7 linked regions of the Macaca fascicularis genome follow. The protein of the gene in region 5 purifies or fractionates together with the protein of the main gene of each other region. This does not show direct contact. Links are inferred from orthologs where the notes say so. Each region holds a gene or a part of one and is shown on either strand. Other genes may lie near its edges.

Region 1 (3,500 bases), on a different chromosome or scaffold from region 5:
GTGAAAGCTGAAGGAGCTTCTGCAATAGGTTTATGAGTTGGTTTAGAGGCATCACAAGCCACACATGTTAAGGAAGAACTCTCATTTTGTACACAGCAAACACTACAATCCCACTGTCCTTTCTTGATGAACATTCCTTCAAATCCACTCTTTGGAGCCTTGCTTACCTCCGAAGAGGTAGGTGTTGAAATTGCAGTTGTTTGATTTTGTTTACTTGGATACTGACAAGCAATACATTTGGTAGTACTGGCTTCATTTCTTACTAAGCACATACTGCAATCCCACTGTCCTTCCTTCTTAGTGAACATTCCCTCAAATCCACTCTTTGGAGCCTTGCTTGTCTCTGAAGAGGCAGGTGTTGAAATTGCAGTAGTAGTCTGATTTTGTTTACCTGGATTCTGACAAGCAATACATTTGGTAGCACTGGCTTCATTTCTTAGTAAGCACACACTGCAATCCCATTGTCCTTCCTTCTTAGTGAACATTCCCTCAAATCCGCTCTTTGGAGCCTTGCTTGTCTCTGAAGAGGCAGGTGTTGAAATTGCAGAAGCAGTTTGATTTTGTTTACCTGGATTCTGACACGCAATACATTTGGTGGCACTGGCTTCATTTCTTACTAAGCACACACTACAATCCCATTGTCCTTCCTTCTTAGTGAACATTCCCTCAAATCCGCTCTTTGGAGCCTTGCTTGTCTCTGAAGTACCAAACTTAAAAGAGGCAGGAGCTGAAACAGAAGTAGATGGACTTGGTTTATCTGGATTCTGACAAGCAACACATCTTGTAGCATTTGCTTCATTTCGCACTAAGCATGAACTGCAATCCCACTGTCCTTCCTTCTTAGCAAACATGTCCTCAAATCCACTTTTTGGAGTTTTACTTGTCTCTGAAGTACCAAACTTAAAAGAGGCAGGTGTTGGAATAGCAGTAGCAGGTAGACTCTGTTTTCTCGGATTCAGACAAGCAGCACATTTTGTAGAGCTCCCCTCATTTTGTACCAAACATACACTGCACTCCCACTGTCCTTCCTTTGTAGAAAAAACAGATCTGAAGTCACTGTTAACAGGTTTAGGAAGATCTCCCTGGCCAAATGTAAATGAAGCCTGATGAACAAATGAAGATCCACTTTTGTTAGCAGATTTTGTGTTCTGACACGCAATGCACCTAGATACAGTAGGTTCATTTCTTACTAAACAAATACTACAATCCCAGTGACCTTCTTTCTTTGGAGTCATCAATGCAAATCGATCTTGAATATTCTCTGGGCCAGTTTTAGGAGTAAAAACAGTTTCAGATAATGGTGGGCCAACGAGTTCTTTATTGCTTGGGTTTAGATTTTGGCATGATACACATTTCTTAGCAGTTGCAGCATTCTTTAATGAGCAGCTGTTACAATGCCACCAAGACCCTTCTTTCTTTCCAACTTGAAATTCAAAATTCATGTTTCCAGCATCAGATTTGCAAATATCCTTGTTATCATGACTTGTGGGTTCTTTTACAATTCTGATAGCCTGATTTGATGCTGTGGCTACATTTGTTCCTGGGGCTTTTAAAATGCTCTGGGCTTCTTCAAACTTGCACTTAAAAAGTGCTGCTTCCTCAGGAGTTTTGAACCTAATAGCAAGTTGTTCTGGTTTTGGCAACTCATCTGCATAATCAAGGGCATGCCAGACAAAAGATCTGTCTGATCCAGCATTTGGTGTCAATTTCATATCTGGACTGATATAATGATTTGCACAGATTTTCAACACTTGCTCTCGTCTCATTAGAAGGCGAATTTTACCAGATGTTTTATGCCTCAGTATTTTTACATTGCCAATCCCACGTTCCTTCCATTCTTTGGATTCTACATCAAAACGGAACAATTTCGCACGGTTGCAAAAGAATTCTTCTTCATCTTCCTCACCAGTTTTTACTTCAATCTTATCAGGAAGAGGTACTACAGGCTCAAAGTGAGGACCATCATCATCATCATCCCCATGGGCACTTCCTCCATCTGTCTCATGGTTCTTGTTTGCTGTCTCTAAAGTGGGTGTTCCAAATACTGATTTCCCTGGACCACGGAAAGTAAACATATCATCACTTCGCCGAAAACCAGAATTCTTTTGCTGAGCTGACCCCATGTTTTCTGTAAACGAAATTCCAGACACATTTTTGCTTCCAAAATTGAATGTATTTCGAGGCCCAATGGTCTGACCACCAGGAACTGGTTTGGGTCCACTATAGCCATCTCCTTGCAAGGGTTTATCTGAAGTCAGGAGACCTAAAAGGCTTTCACTGTTACTGTAAGCTGCAGGAGGGGGCTGTGTCACAACCTGTGGTGAGGAAAATGTGAAGTCACCATCATTTGATTTGAAATTTGAGTTAAATTTAAAAGGAGGTGGCTGTGTTGTGTGTGCTGGTGTTGGCAAAGATGGCCTTATTCCTTCACCTGGCATGGGCTGAACAAAATTAGTTTTCCCAAATTCTATAGTCTTAGATTCTGCAGATCTTGAAGCATGAGCTGCAATTGGAGGTTTTGTGAAATATCCTGGTTCTGGCAAAGGTGGATTTGTGCTTGTCTGCTGAACATTGTAATTAAAGTAATCATCACCCCTGGGCGATAGAATTCCTGTTGCAGGAGACTCAAAACGCAATGCAGGAGGACCATACATCTCCTGAGAGAACATACAAGCAGATGAGCTTTGCACTGGTGGTGTGTGCATCTGTTGCGGATAGGCATAAATATGCTGTTGGGGTGGAAGCCTATTCATGCCATAGACTGGGCCCTAGAAGACAGAAAGTTAAAACATTTTGTAGATTGTCTACAAAACTACAGATAACTAAATGCAAACCAATTCTCACAAACTTCAAACATGAATATTAAGTGAAGAAGATATCATTAGGGGATGTAGTACACATCATTAACCCGTTTATGCCAGAGGCTGCAAATTTTCTGTGTGAAAAATCAGACCTTGGCAATGACCCTGAGCAGTAAGATATAAATAACTCCCAAAAGCTTAGTGTTCCAATAATGGAACACTAGGCATAAATAGGTTAAGAGAAAACCACATTGCTACAAAGATACTTGCATATATACTTGGCATATAATGAAAATTAATTACAGCATCTTAAAATCTACAACTAAAGTCATAAAATAAATACCATCTTCATTCCTAAACAATTTATCAAATGATGTTAATAATGATGATGATGATGATGATGGTAACATTTATTGAGCATTTATTAATGTGCCAGCTGGGCACTATTCTAAGCACTTTACATTATTATCTCATTTTAATATCCTCAAAAACCCTATGAATTAAGGTATTATTATTATCCTCATTTTACATATGAGGCAACTGATGCATTGAGAGGTTAAGAAACTTGCCTGTGGTCAAAATAAGCAGAAGAGCAAGGGTCTAAATGCACCCCATCACTCTGTCCTCAAAGCTATCACATTCAACTACCACTGTAATTTTGAGTCTTCAATCAATTGTTATATATATAGCTGTATCAGG
Region 2 (3,500 bases), on a different chromosome or scaffold from region 5:
GTTTGTATTTTTAGTAGAGACAAGGTTTCACCGTGTTAGCCAGAATGGTGTCGATCTCCTGACCTCATGATCCGCCCGTCTCAGCCTCCCACAGTGCTGGGATTACAGGCATGAGCCAACTGCACCTGTCATTTATTTTTTAAAAAATTTTAGGCTGGGCACAGTGGCTTATGCCTATAATCCCAGCACTTTAGGAGGCCAAGGTGGGTGGATCACCTGAGGTCAGGAGTTTGAGACCAGTCTGGTTAACATGGTGAAACCCCATCTCTACTAAAATACAAAAATTAACATGGTGGTGTGCACCTGTAGTCCCAGCTAATCAGAAGACTGAGGTGGGAGGATCACTTGAGCCTGGGAAGCTGAAACTGCAGTGGGCCGAGATTGCTACTGGTGCACTCCAGCCTGGCCACAGAGTGAGACCCTGTCTCAATAAATTTTTTGTTTGGTTCAGGGGCTACACGTGCTTGTTTGTTATGTGGGTTATTCACAGGCCTTTCTAATGCTGTGAGGTTTATTGTCTACATTCGTGATCAAAAGTCACACTACATACTTTAGCTATGTTAGGGATAAATAATGATGTTATTTTTTCCTCATCCATGTTCACAGACCCCTGAATTCTATCCACAGACTGGAGGGGATTAAGAACTCCCATTCGAAGCCCACCAGAGGACACCTATGAAGGCTCAACACAACCACAGCACACCACCTACTCCTAGTGCACTGAGGACAGCGGGCTGAGGGCAGGGAGGGGTCCAAGGATGGCAGCGAGGCCCCCTCCAGCTCGAGGAGGGAGCGGGGGCTCCCCTGCAGCCAGGGGTGCGGGAGACACAAGGCAGATCTCTATGGTGTTCACTTGGCACTGAAGCAGGCAAGGGGTGTCTATAGGCAGGCTCTGTGGGCAGGCAGGACAGTGGGTGCCATTCCGGCCCGTACGAGCAATGCTCCTAGGATACTGTTTGCTGAAGAAAACACTTAAGAGAAGAGGGGCTGGGCGTGGTGGCTCATGCCTGTAATCCCAGCACTTTGGGAGACCCAGGTGGGCAGATCACTTGAGGTCAGGAGTTCGAGACCACCTGGCCAACATGGCAAAACCCTGTCTCTAACAAAAATACAAAAATTAGCCGGGTGTGGTGGTGAGTGCCTGTAATTCCAGCTACTCGGGAGGCTAAGGCAGAACTGCTTGAACCTGGGAGGCGGAGACTGCAGTGAGCCAAGATCGTGCCACTGCACTCCAGCATAGGTGACAGAATGAGACTGCCTCAAAAAAAAAAAAAAAAGAGAAGAGGGAGACAGACCCCAAAGTTTTCAGTCCTGTTAGGGGCAAATGTGGCCTTCTGCTGGCACTCGCAGTCGGGGACTCAGCAATGTCCTGGGGGGATGGGGAGAGGAGAGTGGAAGAAGAGCGGGGACAAGGTCACCTGAGAGCACCTCATCATCTGGCCCCTGAGCCCTGCGGATGCCCCTGCCTGTCTCCCTGTCTTGGGAAGTCTGGTATGTTCCTTCTCTGTGCCCCACACCAGGGGCTGGGCCAGGCTACTGTCAGTACTCCCGCCATCTCATTTCACCACTTCTGAGCCTGGCAGATGACACTCTTTGGTCAGAGCGGCCTGCCTGGCCTGAAGCCCCGCAGGGGGCTGCTGCTGGCTTACCTGAGGGAGCAGTCACACACCTTTCCAGAAATGCATGACAAGAATCCTGGCCCATTTTCAGATGGACTAACAGGCTTGGAGGGGGCACGTGACGCCCCAGGTCTCTCGGCTGAGTGCCAGCCAGGGATTCGCATCCAGGACTGTCAGCCTACTACACCAAGTGCACCTCAGGGTCACGGGGGCAGGATGGACAGAAACCACTCACCCTAAAAGCTTCTGCCAAGGCAGTGGCGCCATCGTTCTCCAGACGGTTTCTGCCAGCCACGAAGACCTTCAGGGCCAGAGGCTTGCCTTGGGCACTGGATTTCCGGTGACACTCGGTCAGAGCTGCAGCCAGGATCTGTGGGGAAAGGTAAGGGGCCCAGGCCATGGGCAGGAGCCCCTTCTCCCAGTGGGGCGGCCACTGCCACTGAACTGCTCTTCAACATCCCATGCCACCCACTGGTGCAGGTCAGGAGACACAGGACTGCTAACAGCACAACTTCCATGTGCCCAGCACTTCAGTTTACAAAAGGTTTTTACATCTAATGCTGTGTCACACCAGCCTGAGAGGTCTAGCTTCGCTTCGGAGACTGAGGAAAGGGAGACACCACATGGAGTGGACGAACTTTCAGCCAGGTCCAGGGGAGGGACTTCCTAGTCAGCTTACTTCATGACTCCTGTTTTCCAGCTGAAGAAACTCAGGGTAAGGGGAACGGAAACTTTCTTATGGTCAATAAACAAGTGGTGGACGCTGGACCAGAGCCCAAATCTTCCAGCTTCTCTTCCACGCACCACAATGTCCAAGGGAGCCAGCTGCCAAGTCCACGGTCCAGAAGGACCTGTCTGATACATGCCTGTATCTAAGCTGGCCAGGCACAGCAGGGGCTTGCCTGTTGGCAGTAAAAACCTAACACCCAGCTTGTCCTGTCCCTGGTGTGGTGCCAGGAAGTAGCTTCTACCCTGGTTACACCAATAGGCAAAGCACTGAAAAACGGAGACTGACAGATGGGAATCACAGCCCATGGTAAATGCGACACAAAAGAATCATGAGCGAGTGCATCAAGAGAGAAGTGAGATTTACGGAACACCTGAAGTTTGCAGAGCACCTGCTAGGGTCTGGGCACCCTCGGCATATTTTCTCGTTTCAACCTCAACACTAGCCTGCGAGGAGGCAGGTGGGATTGGCTGTACTTTACAGATGAGGAAGCTGAGGCTCTGAGAGGTGAGTGAATCGGCCAAGGTCACCCAGCAAATATTTAGCAAAGCCACACATGGCGGGTAGGTTGGCCTAACTCCTGGCATGAGACTGCACATAGCCGTCCTTGAGGAACAGAAGAGCCAGCACCTGCCTGACTCCACGGTGGTGATGGTGGATCAGGTACACACTCAAGGTAGAGGCATCAAACTTCTGCCAAAGACCAGCCTCTGAGGAAGCTCCTCAGCAGCAGCAGCTGACTGCTAGGTCACCCCCATTCTCCCCAATTCCTTGGAGGCCACGTGGTGAGGGCCTTAGCTCCTGAAGGAGTCCAACTTGGGTATGGAGAGTTCCCCAGCACAGGGCCACGCCTCTTGCCCCGTCGACTCCTCTGGGCCCTCTTATTCTCATGGTGCATGGCACAGAAACCACACTAAACACACTGTCCAGAAGAAAAAGATGCCAAAGGACCTGCAGGCTTTGGTTAGACACCCAGACTACGGCGTCTGAGCTCCCAAGAGGCACAGGTTGGCAAGGCCAAGACCCAGAGATCTAATCGAATTAGTGGTCCGAGGCGCAGAGAACCATTAATCAAACTCCACGGTGGGCCTGTCTGCCCAGGAGGCCCTCTGGTCCTGGGGTTCAAAACTCATTCCCCAACTCATCCCACTGCA
Region 3 (4,082 bases), on a different chromosome or scaffold from region 5:
TGAGGACTTAATATTATCCATGCTACATGCATACTTTTTGTGGGTGTAAGCTATACTTCTGAACCATAATCAGAAATTACCTATAAATATATGAAATAAAAGGGACGAATCAGGAAATATTCCCGGTAATGACCGACCCCTCCATTAGCACTAATACTACCTTAACCATATTGGTTAACTGATGGAACTAAGAAAAGGAAACATATTTAAGTGAATATATGCTGGGCCCAATGTTAAGTGCGGTATTTTAATTAATTCATACTTACCAACCTGAAAAGAAAATGAGGTTGAGGGAAAATGACAGCTTGCTCCAGGTTAAAAAACTAGGTAAAGGTAAACCTGGGATATGATTCCAGAGCCCATGTTCCCATGAATGCCATACCAATCCTTCCCTGAGCAATTTGCTTTTAAAGGGTAAGTCCACAGTTACCACTTATGCAAGGCAGATGAAACGCTGGCTCCAGACACGACCTGGTATTTAATAACAAGTAGTAGTCTAAAAACAGTAGTAGAGTCTATAACACTCACCCGTCTTCTTTTATCCATTGTCTCATAGTAAATATTGACAAACTCCTCAGCAGCTCTACATGCCTGATCTACATAAGTTTTAAAATCCTACAAGAAAAATTCCGGAAGTATAGATTACCAACCGTTTCAACCCCTCACAAACACAAAACCACTGACAGAAGCTGATGATTTATTTCAACCACCATGTAGTTCTATATATAGTCCACATTCTTTCATATAAATTCAGACATTTTAAAGGCTGGACTCTAAAGTTTGCAATTTTAAAATTTTTCACTAACTTTAAGTGCATGTCTTTAGGACATAATCTTCTCAATGAATCTGAGTCTTTTTCAGTCTCTACATATAAATTTATAATCTTTTCTTGGCAACTAAGTACTTTAGACTTTCAATATTTTACAAACATTCACGGCAATGAAAATGACACCACCTGACCCTTAGAAAAGGAGAGCGAGCGGCGAAAACTGCCACTGAATAAGCTAGGCAAGTGTTTTCTCTTTTCCAAGTGAGATGTTAGGGCCAAACTCCAAAGTTGTTGAACGGAACACACACACACACACACACACACACACACACCCCAAAGTAGTTCAACTACTTGAAAAACTGGCAGCTCCACTTAGGAAACTTTCCCACATTACGTGAACTTTCACTGCTGTTTGCATAAGAACCGTGAAACCGAAGAAAGCAACGCTGTTGGCGTTCGTGCCGGAGAATTAAGGAATACCTTCCTTCTCATTCATTTACGGGGCCCAGTCTATTACAGAATTAAGAACAATGAATCGCCAGTTTGTCAGGTAACTGAAAGTGATTTTTAGAGAGGAAGATAATCGAGAAAAAGAGACTGCAAGCCATAAACAACAAACCCCAAACCCCCGCCTCTCGCTATTTCGCAGCTCAGGGTCCTTTCCGGGACCAGAAAGCGACAGCAAAACAGGCGGGGTTGGGGCCGGCAAGGCGGGCAGCAAAACGTGGGCCCCGCCCCGCAGTACAGAGAGCCGGGCCGTGATTCGTCACCTATCCACGTGAGCAGCAACCAGACCGCCCCGGAGTCCCTCCAATCAGCCACTGGAGTCCGGCGCCCAGCAGACCTGCCACAGCCCAAGCACTCACCACAGACATGGCCATCGGGGAGCCTGCAGCAGCGTGTTCCGGCAGTGGCGGCGTCACTACCTCCTCACGTGTCCGGCCCCCACAGCTGCGGAATGATCAATACTTATGAAGAGAGCGAAACCCGCCAAACGCACAGAATTTTCCACCCTCCCATTCTCTCCCGGAAGTAGCTCGGTCCGTCGTTAAAAGCACACCGATGTTCCAACCTTAAGTTCCACCGCCCTTCAGTTCCTGCAGATCCCTCCCATCCGCCTTATCTACTTGTTTGATACTTACTTAGTTTAAAATTTAAAAACCACTTCGCTTTTGTAAACATGATACTCAAAAGGAAAGTCCCTTAGTTTTCTACCGACAAGCCTGGGGACAAGCAAAAATGAAAGTGTTCAATTACAGGGACTTTTTTTGCCCCAGGAGGCGGAGCCAAAGTCCTCTGGAGACCAATTCGAAATGCGAGACCTCCTATTCCGTAGCCTATAGGATAAATGGGCGGAGCTTGGGGAAAGGCGTGCATGAATAGTGAACAATTTAGCATTCTGGAACATTCTGGAAGGATCACCCTCACTGAATTACTATGTTTTGGCAGTATGCCTAAAATTACTGTTTCATTTTAACCTAGCCATATTCAACAGGAAAAGTTCATCTAGTTTCCCCATTCTGGCATTTTACAATGTCTTGCAGACACCAACAAAAATTAAGTTCACAGTGCCATTCACCACCTTTTAAGGGCTATTTATTCTGCAAAGTATTCTAACAATAACTAAAATGTGAAGCGCTGACTGTATGTAAGGTGCTTTTCTAATCAGTTTTACATATATCCACTTATTATAACAATGCTGAGGTAATTGCTATTATTTTATAATCTTCATTTTACAGCTAAGATGGAGTGAATCTGCCTACGGTAACAGACTAGTTGAGATTCAAACTCAAGCAATATAACTATCACGGCAATCTGGCTTTGCTCCCCAACACCCCTTAAAAACCTCTCATCCCAAAGCCGCCAACGACTTCTGATTTAAATGGCAAATTAATTAGATGTTGTAGTTTTACCTTGAGTGGCTGGTGTGTGGTCCCTCATAATAGTGACTTCTTCTTTGGTGTCTTTCTCTGTCTCCCTGAGACCAGTGGCTTCTGCACTTTCTCATACTTTTAACCTTTCTCTTTATCTGGCTCTTTTCCTTTTAAGGTAGTGCTAACGGAAGCTGCTTCTCGGCCACTCTGCTTCCGTTTTCCGCTAACCTAACCTCTGACTGGCGTCACTTCCGGTGCATCCCCCCTTTTAAAGCCTCCCTTCTTCAGGGTGATGTAAATTGCTACCCGTATGCTAATGAATCTTAACAACCTATCCCAAGCCCGCACCGCTTATCTGAGGTCCAGTTACACATATGAATTTTGCTAAACATGAACACGAGTGCACTATAGGCTTCTTAAACTTGTACGTGCAAAATTTAAACTCATTATTTCCTCTGCACTTCCAAACTTTTGTATTCTCCCAGTCGCCTATCTTGAATTCTCGGAATCTTTATTTTTTTGGTTCCCTCTCCTCCTTATCATGATTCATTCAATAAATATTTATCAAGTAGTCACTGTGTGCCAAGGATTGTGCAAGGCTCTGTATATATAGTGGAGAATAAAATGGACATGTTTCGTATTCTTATGAGGCTCAAAGTGTAATGAGAGTGCTAGACAATAAACATAACATCAATGAGTTACAAAGAAATACTGAGTAACTTGCTTAGTTCTGACCATTCCCTATAGCAATCCTTCTACCCTTCTCCCTCTTCCCTTTTTTTTTTATTTCTTTTTTTTTTTTTTTTTTTTTTGAGACGGAGTCTGGCTCTGTGGCTCAGGCTGGAGTGCCGTGGCATGAAGTTGGCTCACTGCCAACCTCCGCCGCCTGGGTTCGAGCAATTCTCTTGCCTCAGCCTCCCGAGTAGAGTAGCTGGGACTACAGGCACGAGCCACCAGGTCCGGCTAACTCTTTTCCTTTTTCTCCCTCTCTCTTTTTGGCTCTCTCCCTCCCTTTCTCCCCCACACTTCTCTCACTTTTCCCGTCTCGTTCTCTCCTCCCTCTCTCCCCCCGAACTTCTCTCCCTTTCCCCTTCTCATTCCCCCTCTCATTCTCTCCTCCCACACAAACTTTGATAACTCTATTGCCTATTTTCTTCCAAACTCATAATCTTTAAATACCTACCTTGGTCTGATCTGAATTTATTTTCCCAGGCTATTCTCCCAAATTCACCAACACTGGCAAAGTTAACTACTACTGGTTGCCAAGAATGACTGATGTTTACTGCTTTATTGGTGATTGTTTTTCTTGATTGAGAGATTGTGTTTTATATGATTTCATTCAATCCTCAAGACCCCCAGAAAGGCAGACATTATTATCTAGATTTTTTAAAATTTAAACTTAAGTTTAAAGAAGTTAAGTAAATTGGTTAAGATGATAC
Region 4 (2,906 bases), on a different chromosome or scaffold from region 5:
TATAGCACCAATTCTCCAAAGAGCTCAAAGACTGCAAAGCAGTAAGCAAACAAATTCTGCAGAGGCCACACTTGACAGGCAAGATCTGGCAACAAAACATTTAGCTTACCTTCTTTTTGGAGATGGAGATCTGGACTTTGATCGGCTGTCAAAACATGAGAAATTCTATTAAAGAAAGAGTACTAACCAATCCCTTTCTTGTAGTCACCAATACCGTAAAACAAACCCCCAAAGGTCCTAAGCTTAAAATGTCAGACTGCACTTAAACTGAAAAACATCCTACCAGTTGTTGCTAACAAAGGCCAATCTTCCAACAACTGTTTTTCAAAAAAATGAATCAATTACTGTATCATGATTAATCTTTTACATTGCATATTAATTTCAGGATGCTTCTCCATGCACCTATCAGTTCTAACAAGGGCCTCTTTAATATAATCCCCAAAGTCACAAACGTCTTTCTCACTACAGTTTTACATTCCCTTTTTCAGGGAAAGTCAGTCAGTAATAAATAGGACATACACAAATAAGGTACTGTGTTCCCACTAACAACTAAGTTTAGAGTTAACACTTAAAATTTCAACAATTAAAAAACACTTTGAACTCTTTGGATATTGGTGCCATATAACTAGAAGAGCATAATCAAATTTTTACCCTACCTGCTTCTTGGTCTTGAAATAGACCTGGATCTTGATCTTGACCTCGACGGGGATCTTAATAAAAAAGTGAAAAACACAATTATATCAATTATCCAAAGGAATTTCCTTAAACAACTACTCAACACTGTATTAGGTAGGTTAGGCGTAGAGAAGCTAAGACTAAGCAAGATACACCACTTGCCTTATTCTAAACACACTTTCAAACAAACTGTTATGAGACATAAGGAACCACCATTTCAATTACTCGTTTCTATCACTCAGCTGGTTACAGTTCCCGTACAGGAATATTCTCAAACACTGTGTAACATCCAAGGGAAACACATGGTTTTCATTTGATAAGACTGGTATGAAGGAAGCAAAACTAACCTCACTTAAGGCACAGATTCCTCAGCTGGGCACTGTGGTGCACAATGGTAGTCCCAGCTACTCAGGAGGCTAAGGCAGGATGAAAATAACCAGACCCCAGCTGGTGTGGTGGTTCACGCCTGTAATCCCAGCACTCTGGGAGGCCAAGGCATGTGGATCACAAGGTCAGGAGATAGAGACCATCCTGGCTAACATGGTGAAACCCCGTCTCTACTAAAAATACAAAAATTAGCTGGGCATGGCGTTGTGCACCTGTAGTCCCAGCTGCTGGGGAGGCTGAGGCAGGAGAATGGCATGAACTCAGGAGGCGGAGCTTGCAGTAAGCCAAGATTGCGCCCCTGCACTCCAGCCTGGGTGACACACAGAGACTCCATCTCAAAAAAAAAAAAAAAGAAAATAACCAGACCCCTGAACTGAGACTAATTCAGGTGATAAGGCCAGACGAGAAGAAAGCCACCACTTAATAAGGCTTTACATTCCTGGATCGTTACGTTTGAGAGCCATCAATTTGTCAGACAAACCAAATCGGACATATCTATCTTTTAAATATATCTAATGAGATAGTCCATAGCTTTCTCAAATAGACCACAAGATTCAGAGTTCCTGCATTTAAAGGTTTTGTGCTACTAAACAGCAATTTAACTCCCAGTAGCATTCTGTACCACTGTTTTATCATTGATACAGATAATATTGTTGGGCCAGGCGCGGTGGCTCAAGCCTGTAATCCCAGCACTTTGGGAGGCTGAGGCGGACAGATCACAAGTCAGGCGATCAAGACCATCCTGGCTAACACGGTGAAACCCCGTCTCTACTAAAAATACAAAAAATTAGCTGGGCGTGGTGGTAGGCGCCTGTAGTCCCAGCTACCAGGGAGGCTGAGGCAGGAAAGTGGTGTGAACTCAGGAGGTGGAGCTTGCAGTGAGCAGAGATTGCACCACTGCACTCCAGCCTGGGCGACAGAGCGAGGCTCTGTCTCACAATATTGGAATATTATTAATTACATATTACAATACTCATTTTACAATTTTTTCCACTCTATCTCCTTTTAAGGCCGCCTACAAAGAGTAAAGCTCTGGTTCTTAAGTTTGTTTTTTCAGGTCTCTGTCCAAAAAAAAAATCCACATTCATTTGTATGTACACACTACTGCCCCAACTTTCCAGTGTCTCCAATCAACACCATCATTCCAAAAATGAGAAATGTTTCTACTTGCTTCTAATCTCTTTTCCTGGTTCTAACAGGCCTTTTTGTCGGGAAAATCAATTACCATCTTTCAGAGCTAGTATCATCTAATCTGAAGCCACAAGTTTATAGCAATATGCCTATCCAGAGTGTTCACTAAAATTGTGTTGCTTTGGACCTTTCTCTACCACCATGGCCTCTCTAACAAGCCTTAAAATCTCTAGTAGCCCTTTTCTTCATCTGTAAAACTAGATTAATATTTATGTTACAAGTTACATATCAATTCCAAACTTTTACATCTCAAATATTCCCTGCAACAATCCATTTGAATTATGTCTTTAAGACACTCTACTGCTGTGAAGATGTGAACAACCCAAACACAAGTAAGAAAAGAAAGTGTTACATACTGGAAATACCTCGATCCTTTTATAGAACCAGACCTAGATCTTCTGAGTGAAGCTGATCTTGATCTACGAAGAGAGATAGATCTTGATCGTCGAGGAGATGCTGACCTTGACCTAAAATAAAGAACTTTAAGTCCATCTCCACATTTTTTTTTTGGCCTGTTAAGACTTCAATTGGGGAACGGTGCAATGGCTTATACCTGTAATCCCAGCACTGGTCTCAAGCCCAGGAGCTTGAGACCAGCCTGGGAAACAGTGCAAGACCATTTCTACAAAAAGAAAAACTAGCTGGGTATGGTG
Region 5 (3,500 bases):
ACAAAAATTAGCCAGGTGTGGTGGCACACGCCTGTAGTCCCATCTACTGGGGAGGCTGAGGCAGGAGAATCACTTGAACCCTGGGAGGCAGAGGTTGCAGTGAGCCAAGATCACATCATTGCACTCCAGCCTGGGTGACAGAGTGAGACACTGTCCAAAAAACAAACAAACAAAAAAAAAACCCAAAAGAGTGAGGCTGAGGTGTGCCTGGGTCTGCCCACCTTTCCCTGCCAACCCCGGGGTGGGGAGAGGGGGCCCTGGGATACTTACTGTTGTAGGAAGTGCAGGACCAGACTCTTCAAGTTTTCTGTTCCAAAATAGCTTCCCTGAAATCAAACAAGATATTAGGAACATGGAAGCAGTATTCTCTCCACACATAAGTTCTTACTCAGTCCATGCTTCCTACCTTGCAGGGCGGTAACGTCGTGGGGGCTTCAACATCAAAGGCAATTGGCGGGGGTAGCTCATGGCCATCCTGTGGAAAGGAAATAAAAGTTGACAGTGTAGACTGAGCACAGTGGCTCACACCTGTGATCCCAGAACTTTGGGAGGCCGAGGCAGGCAGATGGCTTGAGCCCAGGAGTTTTAGACCAGCCTGGACAACATGGCAAAACCCATCTCTACCAAAAAAAAATACAAAAATCAGCTGGGCGTGGTGGTGTGTGCCTGTAGTCCCAGCTATTTGGGAGGCTGAAGTGGGAGGATCACTTGAACCTGGCAGGCGAAGGTTGCAGTAAGCTACGATTGTGCCACTGCACTCCAGCCTGGATGACAGAGCGAGACCCTGTCTCAAAAACAAAACAAAAGTTGACAGTTTAAACCAGAGAGAAAAAGGCTGGATGCATAAGTAGACTAAAGAACTAACAGAGAAGGATCAGAAGTCACGTATAAAAGCATCATGAAAAGTATCCAGGAATCCAGGCTGGGCACAGTGGCTCATGCCTGTAATCCCAGCACACTGGGAGGCCAAGGTGGATGGATTAGTTGAGGTCAGGAGTTCAAGACCATCCTGGCCAACATGGTGAAACCCCCGTCTCTACTAAAAATACACAAAGAAATTAGCTGGGCGTTGTGGCACATGCATGTAATCCCAGCTACTTGGGAGGCTGAGGCAGGAAAATCGCTTGAACCCAGGAGGCGGAGGTTGCAGTGAGTCTAGATTGCACCGCACTCTGGATAACAGAGCAAGACTCCATAAACGGCCTGGCAAGGTGGCTCACGCCTATAATCCCAGCACTTTGGGAGGCCAAGGTGGATGGATCACCTGAGGTGAGGAGTTTGAGGCCAGCCTGGCCAACATGGTGAAACCCTGTCTCTACTAAAAATACAAAAATTAGCCAGGCGTGGTAGCACATGCCTGTAATCCCAGCTACTCGGGCTCAGTAAACTGTGGCAGGAGAATCGCTTGAACCTGGGAGGCGGAGGTTGCGGTGAGCTGAGATCACGCCGTTGCACTCCAACCTGGGCGATAAGAGTGAAACTCCGCCTCAAAAAAAAAAAAATAATAAAAAGAAAAAGAAAACTATCCAGGAATCCTTGTGAGTGGGAGACACTGTGCTTGTTAGAATGAAAAAATTATGGACTTACCAGGCGTAATAACTTGGGAAATCGTTCGCGAATGGCGCTGTCAAGAACGGGACAGAAGTAAGTGATGCTTCAGAGCCACCGTGCCTCCTGGGCTGCTCTAGGAGCAAATATACCAAACCCGAGGGACAGCCCATCCCATCCTGCTCATCCCTCCACTCCCTCCCAGCCTGTGCTCAGGGAAAAATGGCCCCACTCCCCACCTGACCCGGGGCACCCAGACATGGACTGCCTTGAAGGCTGTCTCTTTTCTCTCTGCCTGACCCTGAGTGTCAAGGAGCAGTACTCCAAACCTAGGCTTTAAGCCCAGGACCTCTTTCCCCTCCCTGCCCCCCTTACCTTCCACCTACTCACCTGTGCAGCCCCGGGAGGAGGGAATGGGGTGGGAGCCCAGGGGCTCCGCTGCCTCACCAGGTATCCATCAGTTCTGCCAGGTCTGGCCTTGGCCAAGACCCAAACACACCACAGGGATGGCACAGGATGTTGGGGCAGGGAGATGAGCAGGTGGGGCTCAGGAAGAGGAGAAGCCAAGGAGTAAGAAAGGAGAGGAAAAGGAGGAAAAAGAGAAGAAGGCAAGATGGGGCAGGGGCAAGGCAGAGATGGGGAGGTATAGGAAACACAGAAGAAAAAGAAAGAGAAAGCAAAGAAAAAGGGAAAAGAACTACAAGGCAAAAAAGCATCTAGAAAAATGAGGGAGAAAAGGGAGAAACTGACACAGCCCTTTCTTTCAGCTGCCCCATCCCTGTGGTCCAAGGTAGAAATGAGAAACAAATCCTTGCTGTGGTGAGTGGGCACTTGCTGTTGGCCAGGTCTCTGTCTGCTACCTGGGTCCCGATCTGAGCTGGGCGTGGGGAGCAAAGCAGCCATGGGGGCAGGAGACCTCCCTCAGAAGGTGTGAGGGTTCAGGCCCTTGCAGGATTGTGGGGGTGAGGGTCCGTGCCCCACCTCTGTTGCCCCCAAGTTATCTCCTGATGGCCCCTCTGCGACTGTGCCTGTCTTAGGTTGTTCCTTCCCTGAGGAATCTTACCCGTCTCTGGCTAACCAGCCATCCACCGGGGCCAAACAGGGTGACGTGCAGTGTGTGAGTGAGGGAGAGGCAGCGCCCCCGAGGGGCTCAGTTCTCTGTCTCCTTGGTAGCCTATGCCCCCGTGGCCTCCACGCCCAGCACCTGCCTTGGGATTCCCTCGCCTGCTGGCGGGGCCCCAGCTCTGATCACGTCTTGGGGAACCCAGGTTTCTTCTTCAGGGAGATAGACAGATTGCATGCCACCAGCCCCTAGGAGGCCTCAACCTCAGCATGGGCAGGAATGCCCAGGCAACAACCCTGGGCAAGTGGATCCTGAGAAAAGGGTCCCTCTTCGCGCAAGGGCAAGAGGGACCATCACAGTACAAAGGACGGAAGGCCCATCTCAGTAAGGAAGTCCCAGGCAGGGAGGGCTTCCTCCGCCCACGGACATCAGGCTCTTGGTATAAGGCCACTCCATCTATAGGGTATGTACAAATACCCTCTGGTCAGAGTAGAAAGGAGAGATGCCTTTCCTGGAACAACAGGGTAGGGAGATTCTAGAAAAGGTTGTGTTCAGGAAGAAAGAGAAAGGCCACAGACCCAGCAAACAGATAGTCAGGTCAGAAGAGAAGAGAAAGGATCTCAGGACAAAGCTGGAAGACATAGACAGACCAAAGTGGGGAGCACGTGATCCTCCCAAAGGACAGGTGGTTCCAGCTCAGGGCTGCACATCTCCGCAGACGGGCCCTGGTCAGGATGCATTAGCTCAGCCTCCCAGGGGGTGAAGGTCCCCAGGAGGGGAGACACAGGCTACAACTGACCTGATGTAGGTGGACTGGTCTCGGAAGGTGTCACACAAGGAGTTTCCGTCGAGCCAGAGCTCTTCTAGTTTCAGCCCCTTTATCTTGTCC
Region 6 (3,500 bases), on a different chromosome or scaffold from region 5:
ACCAATCAAGATTCTGTGTAGTAAATTCTTCTTTTTTAAGAAATGGTCTGACTCTGTTGCCCATGTTAGAGTGCAGTAGCATGATCTCAGCAAACTGCCACGTGGAACTCCCAGGCTCAAGTAATCCTCCCACTTCAGTGTCACTGTCGCTCAGCCACTTCAGTAGCTGGGACTACAGGCACATGCCACCATGACTGGTTAATTTTTTAACTTTTTGTAGAGATGAAGTCTCACTATATTGCCCAGGTTGGTTTCAAACTCCTGGGAAGTTCTTGAAAACAAAAAAAGTATTTCCCTAATATACAAGTATAAATATTTAAGCTCCATGGCATTAAAATTATGTTATATCCATAGATATACTTTAGCCTTCAAGAATTAAGGCTATCCGCTAGAATTTTCCCCGTACATAACTGAAATATTACACACCTTATTTATCATATTCAATGTGCATTCAAAAACAGCATCAAATATTTGAGGTATTTCAGCTGTTATATGTCCCCCTAACTTGTTGACAATTATGGCCATAGTACTAAGCACTTCTGGTTCTCTAGCAGCTGGGACATTTCTCTGATAATCAATGAGAACTGCATCCAACAGAGGGGGAACAAAATTTTCAGCTACCTGTTGAGGAGGGAAAAAAAAAGTTATGTTTTAATCTAGGTACGTGGTGACTATTTTAAACAACAAGGTTATTCGTGTCTGTAAGATGTAGCATGATTATCTACTGAAAATAGGAAAATCTTGTGTTTGTATTAGGTTTTCCTACGTTAAAACAGTTTTTAGCAAAAGAAAGCAGGAAATCACAATGGGTTGGGAAGTCTCATGGAAACAGTGTCATTCAAAACTTTTTTTTTTTTTTTGAGACAGTCTCACTGTCACTCAGACCAGAGTGCAGTGGCAAATCTCTGCTCACTGCAACCTCCACCTCCCAGGTTTAAGCAATTCTTGTGCCTCAGTCTCCTGAGTAGCTGGGACTACAGGTATAGCATCATGCCCAGCTACAAAACTCTTATAATAAGGAAAGTGAGGCTCAAAATTCAATTGGTGGCTCCAAGTTAGTGTGGCACAATCAGGATTCAATGTATACTGTATATGTAAGACGGCAGCAAGCGAGCCCTCAATAATGTCTTTTTTTTTTTTTTTTTTTAAGAGGGAGTCTCGCTCTGTCGCCCAGGCTGGAGTGCAGTGGTGCCATCTCAGCTCACTGCAAGCTCCACCTCCCAGGTTCATGCCATTTTCCTACCTCAGCCTATCGAGTAGCTGGGACTACAGGCACCTGCCACCATGCCCAGCTAATTTTTTTGTATTTTTAGTGGAGACAAGGTGTTTCACGAGGTTAGCCAGAGTGGTCTCCATCTCCTGACCTCATGATCTGCCCAACTCAGAATAATGTTTTAATCTAATGAATGCTAACTGTATTTTCACAAGCAGAAATAACATCAATCAATTACTCTCAGAAAATAAGAAAGACTATGGATTTCTATTATTTTTTTGAAACTGAATATTGCCGTGTTGCCTAAACTGGACTTGAAGAGCTGGGGCGATTCTCTTGCCTCAGCCTCCCTAGTGGTTGGGATTACAGGTGCATGCTACGATGCCCAGTAGGATTTTCATGGTTCTAAGTAAACTCAGTTATACTTAATGAGTAACTTCTTGTTCTTTTTTTTTTTTTTTTTGAGATGAAGTTTCGCACTTGTTGCCCAGACTGGAGTGCAATGGTGCGATCTAGGCTCACTGCCACCACCTTCCTGGGTTCAAGCGATTCTCCTGCCTCAGCCTCCTGACCTCAAGGGATCCACCGACCTCGGCCTCCCAAAATGCTGGGATTACAGGCATGAGTCACCGTGACAAGCCAAGACAAGAAAAATAAATGTAATGTTTCATGTGAACAAATATCCCAAACTTTATCATTAATGTTACTTATAAAATATGATACCCCTTTGTATTATTCCCACTGTGCTCCTGACATGTGCCCAAGCTTCTTGTAAACTACAAGCATCACAATTCCTTCAATACATCTTACATTCTGCTTTCACATTTTAAATACAGTTCTGATCACATAATACACATGTTCAGAACCTTTCGATATTTAGGTTAGCCAACTTAAGTATTCCATGAGAATTATATTCAGAACAAGTTTACTGAAAAGTATTTCCTTAACAAGAAACAATACTGAAATTCCAAAATTATTAAAATAACTAGCACACTTGTTAAAGAAAAACAAAAAAAACCCACTATTCCAACTAGTAGTAGTATCAGAATAGAATTTTTTGGAATCTCCCAAGGCTCAAGTGAATAAAAAGAATGAAACCATACAGTTAACACCTAAAAGTAATTCACAATTTTACAAGTTGAGGCATACGCAGCTGGTTTTTATTACTGAAAATGATTTCCTTTTCTGCAAATCATTTAAGAAAAAGAATGTAAAAAAGACTTTCAAGCCTTTAATCTGGGAAGCAATCACTTTGCCAAAGAGGTAAAGTAATGACAACTTTGTAGCTCTAGTAATTGTTCCAAAAATCAAGAGGAATGCAAAAACTGCACCCGTACTCCATTAACTAAATCCTCCTGACCTATCTATGGAAACATAAAATGACCCAATTTTCTTAGCTATCTTGTTACATATCACCACCCTTCGCTATTGATTAACAGCAGTTTCTTTTGAAGATGGAATACAGTATATTAACATTAAGGACTACAATAAATAAAATGCCATAAAATAACTACAAAGTTGATATGCTTTAAATTAGCAAAATGCACATAATAGAGTATAGCACACTCCATAAAACACAGCATCAACACTAAAAACCAAAAGCAAAGCATCTCTCACTTACCATTTGTGGATCATTCGATCGGCTCACCCAACCAGATATTAACTTTAAAGTTTCCCTTTTTACAGTTCGCATACTTCTAATCAATGGTTGCTTTGTAACCATTTCACCTACAAAATTGAATCAAATGGAATCTAATTTTACCACTAAAATTATACAGCGGTACTCAGGTGTACATTAGATGCAATTCCATTTTACCATTAAAAAGTTTAAAGCCAAAACTACACAAGATTTATTGGGAAAATAAGCTTTAAGACTAATTTTAAAAGGGAAAGGTACACATAACTATTTTAAATATGTGTAGGGTCATCTGGGAAATGGGAGGTCTGATTTAAATCTGTGAAAAATATCAAATGTTTGACTTGAGGCAGTAGAAGAGAAGTGTTTATACTGCATCGTATAAGAAATCAGAATCACCTACCATTAGCTTGGATAGCTGCAGAAATATTTTCACTGAGGCACTTGTATACATTAAGCATATCTAAATAAATTCTTCCAAGCTGAATTACAAAGGGGTGTCCAACAGCTTTGCAGGCTCTCACATTTGTCTTCAAAATGCTACCAAGCTGCTTGACTGTTTCAGGATCTTTCAGTATATCCACATTCTTGGAGAAAAAAAAGCAAATTCCATTTATCATGTAAGAATTATCCACATAATGGCCAGGTGAG
Region 7 (3,500 bases), on a different chromosome or scaffold from region 5:
TCACACCTGTAATCCCAGCATTTTGGGAGGTTGAGGTGAGTGGATCACTTGAGGTCAGGAGTTCAAGACCAGCCTGGGCAACATGGTGAAATCCTGTCTCTACTAAAAACACAAAAGCTAGCCAGCCTTGGTGGCACGCGCCTGTAGTCCCAGCTACTCAGGAGGCTGAAGCATGAGAATTGCTTGAATCAGGGAAGCAGAGGTGCAGTGGGCCGAGATCACGCCACTGCACTCCAGCCCAGCGACAGACTTCATCTCAAAAAATAAATAAACCACAGAAAAACTTATACTCTTCTGTTTCTTGTTCTTTCATGCACAGAACAATGCTGTTAATTATGTTTGACTTTCACCAATTCTTTTTTCTTTTTTTAATTTTACTTTAAGTTCCGAGACACATGCTGAACACGCAGGTTTCTTACGTAGGTGTATATGCGCCATGGTGGTTTGCTGCACCTAATTTCTTGTTTTCTACAGGAAGTTGGTGAAGTATGAAAAATTAAAATTTCATATTTATGCAATATTCAATCCTCTAATATTCCATGTCTTCAACTGATCTATTGATGAATATGAAACACTATACAAACAAGTGTTCATTAGATTCCTTAGTCTTACCTCCAATCTTTCAGAGATTCAAGTTCAAAATTTCCCTAGCTAACCCAATTAACATGTAAGTCTCATGTAAATGATGGGTTCTTATTTGAGAAGGTACCTTATTATCAAGTGATTCCCAAAAGATGATGGTTAAAACTGCAATTCCAGCCATTACATTTTTTGTTTTGTTTTTTATTTTTTATTTTGTTTTAGACAGTTTCACTGTTACCCAGGCTGGAGTGCAGTGGCACGATCTTGACTCACCGCAATCTCTGCCTCCCAGGTTTAAGCGATTCTCCTGCCTCAGCCTCCCAAATAGCTGGAACTACAGGCATGCACCACCATGTCCAGCTAATTTTTATATTTTTAGTAGAGATGGGATTTCACCATGTTGGCCAGGCTGGTCTCGAACTCCTGGCCTCAGGTGATCTACACGCCATGGCCTCCCAAAGTGCTGCGAATACAAGCATGAGCCACTGTGCCCAGCCACTGCATTTTTAAAAAACTCCATTCCAGGTTTTGTTTGCTGAATAATCTTCCACGAGAGATAAATAAATAGTACTTGAAACCGAATAAGGAAACTTCACACCTCATTAACTTCATCTACTTTGTCCTTACAGAGAACAGAATGCCGTAACAACAGATCATAATTTTTCTTTTTTTTTCAGAGATGGGGGTCTCACTATGTTGCCCAGGTTAGCCCTGAATCCTGGGCTCATGTGATCCTTCTGCCTCAGCCTCTTAAGTAGCTGGGACCACAGGCACATGCCACTGTGCCCAGCTCACAGGCCATAATTTTTGGTTTTTATTATTCAACTTAGTATAAAAATAATTTCAGTTTAACAAGTGTTCATCAAGAATTCCTCCTTTCTAGTTTGATTTTTCCACAAATAACATACATTGTGATTCAGTGTTCTAGTAAGGGCCATCCAGACTGAGTAACAAATTGAGCTTTCAGAATTCCCAATTTTGAATAATTCCCACTGAGATGTTAAGAGTTCTACCAGGGCTGGGCACAGTGGCACATGCCTGTAATCCCAGCACTTTAGGAGGCTGAGGTGGGAGGATCACTTGAGGCCCGGAATTGAGACCAGCCTAGGCAACAGGGTGAGACCCTGTCTCTACCAAAAAAAAAAAAAAAAAAACAACTAGCAGGGCATGGTGGCATGTATCTGTGGTCCCATCTACTCAGGAGGCTGATGTGGGAGGATCACTTGAGTCCGGGTGGGGGTTGAGGCTCCAGTGAGCAGTGATGGCGCCACTGCACTCCAGCCTCAGCAATAGAGCGAGAAGACCCTGTCTCAAAAAACAGGAAAAAAAAAAAAAGAGAGAGAGTTCTACTAAAGTGATCAGCTTTTGCAATTTTATTCCATGTGTCAAAGGGGTAAAGAAGCAGAGTGATGCTTTTTAAAAAGCTGATATTGGTTAAATTCATCAGTAAGAATTCATCTAATAAACGAGCTATTACTGGATACATCCATGTGGATGCTCAGATAGACATCCCAAACATCTGTCTTGAAAATGACCAGATAACTAAAAAAATCACTGCAAATCTATTCTTCACACCACTTAATGCAAGAAGTGTTTTTTAATGCAAAATAACACATCATCATATTTGAGTACTTACTTTCTGTTTAGCTGGTTAGGTCTCTTGAGAACTGCCACTGGTTTCCTCTGCCCTTCATTTTGTCTCAGAAGGTTTGCCTTCCTTTTTAACACTGGAAAATATTGTTCTATATTCTATCAGAAGGCAAGAAACTATGTTAATCAAATTGCATTTTTCTATATACCCTACTACAATAAACATTTCTGATGCAGAATGAACAGGGATTGACAACAGCTTGAATGTGTAGATAAGGGAGATGGAGAAACAGCTTGAAAATTTACAGCCTAAGCGATTGGAAAGATGAAAACCCCACATTATACTTAAAATATGTGAGGTACTCACGGGACCCACAGGTGCTGGGGAATTGTGGCTCCGCAACTCAAGAGAAGAATCAGAGGGCCAGAGATATAAATTAGGGAATAATTTATATAAACATGATTTTTGATACTAATAGATTTTAAAAAGCCAAGTTCCAAAACAAATGCCGAAAACAAGAAAAAGCGGGGAAGTCATGACAGCAAAGGAGCTGGAATAGACATGGTCAGAGGCAAAAAGTACCACAAAAAACAAAAGCACATGAAACACCCTCTTTTTCTTCCTCCATATATGTAAATTAAATCCACCATTAAAGCCTAATTCAGATATTCATATTGTCCATAAAGACTTCTCAAAAGTTCTTGACAAATACGAACGTTATCTTATACTTTATCTGGATTCTTCTATTAAGTATATGAGAAGTACTTCATAAATATCCACTGACTGACTCACATTAAAAAGTCTTAATTTGGTCAGGCACGGCGGCTCACGCCTTTAATCCCCACACTTTGGGAGGCTGAGGCAGGTGGATCACGAGGTCAGGAGTTTGAGACCAGCCTGGCCAACATGGTGAAACCCCATCTCTACTAAAAATACAAAAATTAGCCAGTCATGGTGGCACACACATGTAGTCCCAGCTACTCGGGAGGCTGAGGCAGGAGAATTTCCTGAACCCAGGAGGCGGAGGTTGCAGTGAGCCAAGATTGCACCACTGCACTCCAGCCTGGGCGACAGAGTGAGACTCTATCCCCACCCAAAAAAACCTCAATTTTCGGCCAGGCATGGTGGCTCACGCCTGTAATACCAGCATTTTGGGAGGCAGAGGGGGGCAGATCACTTGAGGTCAGGAGTTTAAGACTAGCCTGGCCAACATGGTGAAACCCCATCTCTACTAAAAATACAAAAATTAGCCAGGCATGGTGGCACACACCTGTAATCCCAGCTACTCAGAAGGCTGAGCCAAGATCACGTCACTGCACTCCAGTTG

Evidence for each region.
Region 1: the proteins of NXF1 (region 5) and E3 SUMO-protein ligase RanBP2 purify together in Homo sapiens (co-immunoprecipitation; 5 studies listed by BioGRID and IntAct, with this or other methods). This does not show direct contact. The link is inferred for Macaca fascicularis from reciprocal best matches to the Homo sapiens genes NXF1 and RANBP2.
Region 2: the proteins of NXF1 (region 5) and RANGAP1 purify together in Homo sapiens (co-immunoprecipitation; 3 studies listed by BioGRID and IntAct, with this or other methods). This does not show direct contact. The link is inferred for Macaca fascicularis from reciprocal best matches to the Homo sapiens genes NXF1 and RANGAP1.
Region 3: the proteins of NXF1 (region 5) and NXT2 purify together in Homo sapiens (co-immunoprecipitation; 5 studies listed by BioGRID and IntAct, counting the BioPlex papers as one, with this or other methods). This does not show direct contact. The link is inferred for Macaca fascicularis from reciprocal best matches to the Homo sapiens genes NXF1 and NXT2.
Region 4: the proteins of NXF1 (region 5) and SRSF7 purify together in Homo sapiens (affinity purification with western blotting; 3 studies listed by BioGRID and IntAct, with this or other methods). This does not show direct contact. The link is inferred for Macaca fascicularis from reciprocal best matches to the Homo sapiens genes NXF1 and SRSF7.
Region 6: the proteins of NXF1 (region 5) and XPO1 purify together in Homo sapiens (affinity purification with mass spectrometry; 3 studies listed by BioGRID and IntAct, with this or other methods). This does not show direct contact. The link is inferred for Macaca fascicularis from reciprocal best matches to the Homo sapiens genes NXF1 and XPO1.
Region 7: the proteins of NXF1 (region 5) and FYTTD1 purify together in Homo sapiens (affinity purification with western blotting; 3 studies listed by BioGRID and IntAct, with this or other methods). This does not show direct contact. The link is inferred for Macaca fascicularis from reciprocal best matches to the Homo sapiens genes NXF1 and FYTTD1.

Annotation. Positions count from the first base shown.
Region 1 is NC_088387.1:16,258,093-16,261,592, reverse strand, and holds part of E3 SUMO-protein ligase RanBP2, read right to left. Parts: intron 2,769-3,500; coding exon 1-2,768. UniProt on the Homo sapiens protein: E3 SUMO-protein ligase which facilitates SUMO1 and SUMO2 conjugation by UBE2I. Involved in transport factor (Ran-GTP, karyopherin)-mediated protein import via the F-G repeat-containing domain which acts as a docking site for substrates.
Region 2 is NC_088384.1:10,350,323-10,353,822, reverse strand, and holds part of RANGAP1 (ran GTPase-activating protein 1), read right to left. Parts: intron 1,990-3,500; coding exon 1,855-1,989; intron 1-1,854. UniProt on the Homo sapiens protein: GTPase activator for RAN. Converts cytoplasmic GTP-bound RAN to GDP-bound RAN, which is essential for RAN-mediated nuclear import and export. Mediates dissociation of cargo from nuclear export complexes containing XPO1, RAN and RANBP2 after nuclear export.
Region 3 is NC_088395.1:116,105,251-116,109,332, reverse strand, and holds the start of NXT2 (NTF2-related export protein 2), read right to left. Parts: upstream 2,801-4,082; 5' UTR 2,778-2,800; coding exon 2,683-2,777; intron 2,021-2,682; exon of another isoform or gene 1,912-2,020; intron 1,721-1,911; coding exon 1,636-1,720; exon of another isoform or gene 1,540-1,635; intron 1,458-1,539; exon of another isoform or gene 1,262-1,457; coding exon of another isoform or gene 1,250-1,261; intron 616-1,249; coding exon 529-615; intron 1-528. UniProt on the Homo sapiens protein: Regulator of protein export for NES-containing proteins. Also plays a role in mRNA nuclear export.
Region 4 is NC_088387.1:83,422,969-83,425,874, reverse strand, and holds part of SRSF7 (serine/arginine-rich splicing factor 7), read right to left. Parts: intron 2,721-2,906; coding exon 2,610-2,720; exon of another isoform or gene 1,023-2,609; intron 711-1,022; coding exon 657-710; intron 146-656; coding exon 110-145; intron 1-109.
Region 5 is NC_088388.1:11,252,347-11,255,846, reverse strand, and holds part of NXF1 (nuclear RNA export factor 1), read right to left. Parts: coding exon 3,411-3,500; intron 1,625-3,410; coding exon 1,588-1,624; intron 476-1,587; coding exon 407-475; intron 327-406; coding exon 271-326; intron 1-270.
Region 6 is NC_088387.1:60,435,405-60,438,904, reverse strand, and holds part of XPO1 (exportin-1), read right to left. Parts: intron 3,437-3,500; coding exon 3,253-3,436; intron 2,942-3,252; coding exon 2,835-2,941; intron 2,303-2,834; exon of another isoform or gene 1,680-2,302; intron 622-1,679; coding exon 427-621; intron 1-426. UniProt on the Homo sapiens protein: Mediates the nuclear export of cellular proteins (cargos) bearing a leucine-rich nuclear export signal (NES) and of RNAs.
Region 7 is NC_088376.1:1,073,596-1,077,095, forward strand, and holds part of FYTTD1 (UAP56-interacting factor), read right to left. Parts: intron 2,332-3,500; coding exon 2,219-2,331; intron 1-2,218. UniProt on the Homo sapiens protein: Required for mRNA export from the nucleus to the cytoplasm. Acts as an adapter that uses the DDX39B/UAP56-NFX1 pathway to ensure efficient mRNA export and delivering to the nuclear pore.